Styela clava: one gene and its partner. The main gene of each other region encodes a partner of the protein of the gene in region 2 in a complex. Links are inferred from orthologs where the notes say so. Each region holds a gene or a part of one and is shown on either strand. Other genes may lie near its edges.

What was found.
Region 1: sterol regulatory element-binding protein cleavage-activating protein-like (region 2) and E3 ubiquitin-protein ligase RNF139-like share a complex: the UniProt entries of both Homo sapiens proteins name them as parts of the SCAP-SREBP complex. The link is inferred for Styela clava from reciprocal best matches to the Homo sapiens genes SCAP and RNF139.

What each region holds. Positions count from the first base shown.
Region 1 is NC_135256.1:9,430,570-9,434,500, reverse strand, and holds the start of E3 ubiquitin-protein ligase RNF139-like, read right to left. Parts: upstream 2,503-3,931; 5' UTR 2,284-2,502; coding exon 2,160-2,283; intron 854-2,159; coding exon 630-853; intron 72-629; coding exon 1-71. UniProt on the Homo sapiens protein: E3-ubiquitin ligase; acts as a negative regulator of cell proliferation through mechanisms involving G2/M arrest and cell death.
Region 2 is NC_135259.1:11,967,583-11,971,513, reverse strand, and holds the start of sterol regulatory element-binding protein cleavage-activating protein-like, read right to left. Parts: upstream 2,369-3,931; 5' UTR 2,277-2,368; coding exon 2,149-2,276; intron 625-2,148; coding exon 480-624; intron 1-479. UniProt on the Homo sapiens protein: Escort protein required for cholesterol as well as lipid homeostasis.

The DNA of each region.
Region 1 (3,931 bases), on a different chromosome or scaffold from region 2:
AGCATGAGGTTAATCCAGCAAAATATTTGCAAAGCCCCAAAGCAAACTAATGCTTTTGCAGTGAAGTCAACCTGTGTATAAACAATTATTAAAATTTAATTTTTTAAAAGATTCATTCAGAATGTAAAATGTTACTTGAAGGCTGAAGCAATTTTTTTTCTTCAATTCATCGATGAAAGATTACTGCTTGTCTGTAAGTTTTTTTATACCTAGCTGTAGTTTTTACACTTTTGTCTCAAATTGTTTCAGCCTCATCTCTCATTTCACCTGTTTTCTACTGACATCTCTCTAACTCTGTTACATGGATAAAATACCACTATAGCATTAAGCATGGTAGTATTCGCTTGCAGCTTTTCCATTGGTGTTAATCACCACATTGTAAGAGAAAACTTGTACAAAAAATTTGTTTAAATTACCATTCATGTTTGGAATAAATACTTCACTGGGTGAATAATAATAAAAACTAAATTTTCTCAAACCACAATTGAATATAATTAAACATTCAATAGGAAAATTACCATATCTGGATTTATTTAATTGTTCTTCAAATATCAGCAATTTTCAATTAGAAATTGAATTTTTTGGATGTGCCTATGCCAAAACTGATTAGAAATACGAAATATTCCAACCTCTCTAAATGGTAATTCTTTTCCATTCCATATATAATCGTTGATTTGGCTCATTGCTGAATTGTTGTAAACATTATTGATATAATAATCATGGTGAATTAGTCTTGTCACTGAATAATTCCATCCCAGTACTACACAATGAACCAAAATTGCAGCAGTCAATCTGTAGAATTTGATTATAATTGGAGGTTGACAGGTGAATATTCCAATACTGATGCATAAACCTGTGAACATGTGTAAAACAACTTAGAAAATGTTGCTTTATGGTATCGGAGAAGCAATTTTCGAGAAAACCCTTTGCAATTCCAAGGATACTCCAAATCGATTCTAGTGGATTACAAACTACAGAACTGACAAAGTTGATATTGATACACTAATATGAGTTATGGTAATTAGTCCTGAAGAGTGGAAATATGTGGACTTATAAACCGTATAAAAGCTGTTCGCTCAGTTATTGTAACTGGTGTTGAAAGGCATGCTCTTGCTACAGGGGTGGTGACTCCACTACGACCCATGGGCCGGGGCCACGGCCCATCTAATTGGGCCACATGGGCCGTGGCCCATCAAGCTATGGGCCGCGGCCCCGTCAGGAAAAATTCAATTATCTTACCAAAATTTTCAATTTTTACAAAATTGACAATATTCGAACCAAAAAATAAACTCCTGTAGTATGTGTACCGGGTTAGGGTTAGGGCAAAATTTTGTTCAGATTTTTTACATTATAGTTCTATTATGAGTTTGGGGACTGTCTGTGTTAGCCAAGTGAATAGTTCCTTTACACAACTTGATGGGCCGCGGCCCATAGCCTGATGGGCCTAGGCCCAATTTGATGGGCCGTGGCCCCGGCCCATGGGCCGAAGAGGAGTCACCACTTCCACTCTGCTCTTGGCCTTATTGAGGCGCAGTTCTTACCACTTCATGGCAGCTCCTGCCACGAACGAACCGCGGCAGCTCTTGCCATGGTTTTATAGCGCTATTCAGTAATCAGTATTAACGGTATATTCACAAATTAATGTACCAGATTTTAATTGATCATGTGGAATTATATCTACTTAAACCCTAACCCTAACCCCAAATCAATCAAAACTGTATCCATAAGAAAAACGTTCCAACTTACCCAATATTTGTCACCATAATAGACAGCCCTGTCTTTACGGCCCACATGCCGCGATTACGGCAGCAAAATTTTACCTGCCATTGGTTTTCAATTTGCTGCCGCGGTAACGGCAGCTCGACATTGGTTTGTGGCAGCTAAAAAGTCAGTTGCCATGAGTTTGACCGTAGCGGCCATGGTATGGAAATACTGCCATGGTTTTACTGCAGCTGCAGATGCCACAGAATACTTAAAACTGCACTTGGCCTTATTATACACAATCATAGTAAAAACAAAGTTGAAACAGTCCAATCTCATACCAAAACACGACGGTTCACTGTTTATAATAGAATAAGTTTTTACAGGTAATATTATAAGCATGAAATGCATACTGACATGACGGCTTGTTTATTCACCATATTAAGCACTTAACTCACCGATGCAAGAGAGTGCATATCCAGCAATAAATCCAAAACTCCAAAGGTTGATTCTATTTGCCACAATTGCATCAAAAAATACAAGCAACGGAAGTCGAAGTAGATCAGATGTTGTAAAAGCCATTTCATGAATTTTTTTAATTCCTTAACTGCTCCGTTTTGTGGTATTACTGTATTAAGAATCGCATGTCAAATCCGGGCCTTCAATCAGACTATTTGATTCATAACATGCATGCCCAGGCTACAAAAATGTAAATACACCCAAGTTAGGTAACCTATTGCTGTATTGCATAACGAAATAGAACCAAATAAACAACGTAACGAATGATTTTTTTCATACACCGTGTACAGGTGTAACTACTGCTGCGTTCACAGATATCATATACCGGTACGGTACCGTAATACGGTACCGGTACCGGTACACCTTAATTCTTGAAAGTATCAAAAGTTACCTGAACTGCTGTACCGGTACCGGAACATGCAAAGCCTGAAAGCAGGAAACTGGTTCGGTACCCTAATATTCTTGGAGTAAAACCAGTATATTATGTATATCAGTACCGTACCGGTACCGTATATAACGTTTGGCTAGTCATTTTTTCCTACTGCAGTACTGTCCTAACCTACCTTAGCTAACCGATGGTCTCACAACTTACTGAATACCAAAGAGACTATAATTCACTTTGATGGATACAGCGCGAAACGCTGCAAAGAGCGCAAAACAGAGGTGAACAGCGCAGAACAGAGGGAACAGAGGGAAACAGAAGGATACCGTACAGCAGGGGTGTGCAAACTGCGGCCCGCGGGCCAAATGCGGCCCGCAAGAAAAATTTGTGCGGTCCGCGGAGAAATAACAACTTTGAATGGCGTGCCCGTGAAACGAGCATTTAGTTTAGGTAATATGGTACGTGCGAGAAATTCTAATCCTTCTGCGCCACAAAGCCTATACCAGTGCCTGAGTGCCACTGTTGTATTAGCAAAACCAGCTAGCAAAGTTTTCTTGCAAAATATACAATATATATTACAAAAACGTGTTTCTCACTGACTTGCATTAAAGTCGGTGTGGCGATAAATTTAAATAGCAGTTTCTTCAGAAGTTTATACGTTTAACTCACTATTTCTGCAAGAAACCCTAATAATGACATAAGGTGACTATAGAAAATATAAACAATTTTTGTGCTTGTAACTACTAGAAAGTCTATAATAAATAAAGGTGCGGCCCGCGGCTTTACTCAGTTTCTTGAATTTGGCACGCCAGTGAAAAAGGTTGCACTCTCCTGCCGTACAGCACAAAACAGAGGGAAACTGCGCAAAACACATGGAAACAGCATGAAACAGAAGCACTGTAGCCTACCCGCTCTTAAATAATACAGTGCATAATGAGTGGTTCTTCTGCTTTAATCATTATGTATTGAATACTTGAACCTGGGGGATATTTTTAACATCTATTGACACAGAAGCTGTGTTACTATGATTTTTGTCCTATAATATAATTCAATAAAATGATATCCATAGTTTTTAGGGCCTTCACAATCTTCGTCGATTTTGCAAACCCACACAGGACAATATTATCCGAAACTGTGGCTTTTATATTCATCATTGGGACCTCCTGAAGTATGCGCACCGAGATGGCGCATAACTCCGGTTGTGTACCAGGTTAGGGTTCAGGTTATGCGACATCTTGGTGCGCATACCTCAGGAGTACCCAGGAGTACGCCGGTTAGTGTTGTGTTGTTTAATGAAATCTCCCTCTCTCTCCTCCACCCCATGCCCGA
Region 2 (3,931 bases):
TTCATACTTTTACTGTGACTTAAATGGTTATTGACGATAATCTTATGTTGGAAAGATAATAATTTCGATACAACATACAAGAATGATCCAAATTAGATGTTATTACAAGGATGCAGGGAATCGATCACCAAAGGAAATGAGGCATGAGTGGTGGCAACAGTGATGCAAGAATGTATCATCTTGTCCTATTACTGTTTCAGAATTTTTTTTTATACGACGCCTAATCACGCTTTTCGATCTGAACAAGGACTCGCACTGATATCTAATGATATGGAAAAATCTACTTTTTTTGGAGAAACCAGAATCCATTTCGGCCTTGCATACCCGATTTATTACACCCTATGTGAGGTGGTGTGCATGGGATTTGACCCCAACATTTTAACTTGCGATACCATCACAGTTAATTAGGTAATGCTTGATAAGCTCGGCCACCATGCCCATATTTGGGGAGATTCTCATAGAATGGAAAAACAACAAACCCATTGTGGTAAATCCACCGGAACATCACGACTTGAATACGGTAAATTTTTTCCTGCTGTGTAAAGTCCTTGACTGAAGTCTGATAAAGGAGTAAGAAATTCTGTTGGCTCACTTCCAGGTAGAGGGAGATTCAATAAGGGGTAGCTAAAATGAAAAGGAGGTAATTACAAGCAAGTGATAATCTAATTACACATTTTCTATATTGTAAAAAAGACTTTATGGTCGTACTTTATATATTTCAATTTCTTCTTCAAAGAATCACAGCAGTAGCAGAAATCCTATTACCGAATTTTGCTGCCAGCACACAAACAGAAGAATTCAAATAATCAATCAATATGAGAAATGAAACTAGCAATATGTAATTAGTGTTCATACCAGATAAAAATGTAAATACCAAACTTCTGCAACATCTGCTGAAAAAGCAAAGATTAAGAATATCAATAGCCTAGCACAGGGTGGTCCAAACCGCGGCCCGCCGACACATTCCCTGCGGCCTGCAGAGCAATTTTAGCGTGCACTAAATCATTCGCAGATATTTGTATTTACTGGCAAAACTTGAGTTATTTTCTAAACTATTGCACTTGAGAATACCCTTTTTCCTAATCCCGATGTCGGAATTCATGTTTGTTAAAATCACAGAATTTGAATGTTGTAGCTATAAACGTCAAGACGGTGCCAATATGGGAATGACGTCCTGTGATTGGTACAAGGTGAATGGATTGTCTTGTGCAGTTAGGACCAAGCCGATGAGATGAGTCGCGCTTTTTATCTAAACTTCGTACTTTAAGCTCTCGTCAAGTAGCCTAACTCCTCATTTGGAGAGACGTTTTGTGCTACTATTTTAGTAAAAACACTCCTATATTTTCAAGCACTGGCCATGTGACAGCAGTGACCAACCGCAGAGCTGACTTAGCGCCAAGCGATCCATTTTTTTAGCTGGTCCAGAGTCCCAACTTAGACGGACTTGGTTGTTCTTTGACGATAGCCAGAAGATACCAGAACTGCTCACGCTGCGAGTAATAAAATTAGTCAAATATAAAGATTCATCATACAATGAGTGTAAAAAAAGTGACCGAAGTCAACTGTGAGGACGCCGTATTTCCTAACCCACAACAACGTTATGATACAGTGTCTGGTGTGTTTTCAAGTAATATCTGTCACGAAAGACTCTAATTTGAAGCGACATTACAAAACCAAACACGAGGAAATATTATACCGTAATACCAAGGTATTTTTCGGGAAGCATTTTAAAAATAACTGAAGGTTTTATATATCTCCCTTCAACTGATTAGAACAGTAAACTCTCATTTCTAAATATATAGTATTTTAAGTGAGTATACTCGTGATGTTTTGATCATATTTGGGTTCATCTTTCCGACTGCGGCCCGCGAGACATCCTGAAAAGTTTTTGCGGCCCGCCAAAAGAAAAGATTATGCTTCATCATTTGCTATCGCTTACTCTACCAGACATGACCATACATTAGAAAAATGGAACCAAACGAGACAAGAGAACATGGTTCGCCTTATTATTAAGTTAATTTTTAAACTTCTCTCCATGTATTATATGAAAAATTTATATATATAGAGGCAAATCTGCCTTAAAATATCCTAAACTTTTGATTTGCACAAATAAGAAGAAATTGTCTTAAAAAGTCATGGGTGACTTACCAGCAACATAGCATAACTACTGCAGATATGCATATCATCAATACAGGATGATTTGACATAAACAATCCATGATTGTAATAAGTCTTCTCCACACGCTCTGTATACCGGTATTCAAAAAGCTTCGCCATATCGTCAGAAATAGTCTTCGGAGAGTTTGGTCTTTAGTTGATCATTGTTATACATAACTCTATGCAATTAATAACAATTTAATTAAATGATATAAATACATCTAAAATGAAAAGTAACATTGCTTATTAGGTGGTGATACAGTAAAAATATGCACATTACCACCAGGACAGCAGTATGGCATGAAGATTCCAAGAATAGCCCCCACATTGAATGACATCAATTGTAACAGTGAGGGCAAATTCCTTCCTTTATGAGACAGTCTGAGCCTCCATTTTACTACAGGAGTGGTGACTCCTCTACGGCCCATGGGCCGGGGCCACAGCCCATCTAATTGGGCCACATGGGCCGTGGCCAAATCAGAAAAAATTCAATTATCTTAACAAAATTTTCAATTTTCACCAAATTGTCAATACTCGAACCAAAAAAATATACTCCTGTAGTATGTGTACCAGGTTAGGGTTAGGACAAAAAAAATTCAGATTTTTTACATTATAGTTCTATTATGAGTTCGGGGACTGTCTGTGTTAGCCAAGTGAATAGTTTCTTTACACAACTTGATGGGCCGCGGCCCATAGCCTGATGGGCCGAGGCCCAATTCGATGGGCCGTGGCCCCGGCCCATGGGCCGCAGAGGAGTCACCACTCCCACTCTCATTTTGACTCAAAATGTCAAAATGGCACTGGAAAATAAACTAAAAAAAAGTGCAATCTATAAATGCACTGTCTGACTGTACACGCAACCGTAATTTCAGCGTTTTTTTGTTCTTCGGTAATTACCAAAACAAAAGACTGAAAGAAGAGATATACATAGATTTGCTGAGTATCATTACTATTTATTAGACTGGAATTGTTTGAATCCAATACAAATCTAACATAATTTCCAATCCGATACAATCTGCAGATCTGTTCCGATCGGATTTTGACCGATGTCAATATTCAAATTACAGTTCTGCATATTGCAATTAGACCTACCGGTACCGTATTTGCCATTGGAACTTTTAGGCTTTCAAAAACCTTCATGGGCCACGAAACTCGCAAACACATTTTAATCGTACAAATAATGAATTACCGGAATTATGGAGTTGAGGCTACAATGTTGTTTTTATCAGATTTTGCTGGAAAAAAATTTGACCTGTTTTATACATACCACTGTCCCAATACTGTAATATAATCTATAAACCATGTATTTTTATCAGATTACCTTATTCAGTTATTACAGTATTAACCAATTCATCAATTAGACACGATTTTGCGATTTTGTAAAGAGTTGACAGCACAGTCTTACCGTTCGCCAGTTCGCGTTCGTTAAGTTACGGTACCGTACTCAGTCTACCCTACAGCCCTGGGGTTGTCAAAGCACTGTATTCAAACCCGTGAAGCCCACGTTATGTAGTTTACCGGTACAGCGGTACGGTATTTCTACTGCCATACATTTCTTACCTTATACGACATACGGTAGAGCGGTAAGTTATCGGCATCAGTAACCGAAAATCCCTGGCTCAAACGAATAGGCCACGCGTGACAGAAGCAGAGTGATACCGTACTATACTGAGGCATCATCACTCCCACAAAGTGTTTCCCCTGGTTTTGTCAAATTTTTTGTGTTGAATTTGATTCTATATATTTTTTCAAAATTTTTGACGCTTACTATTTAC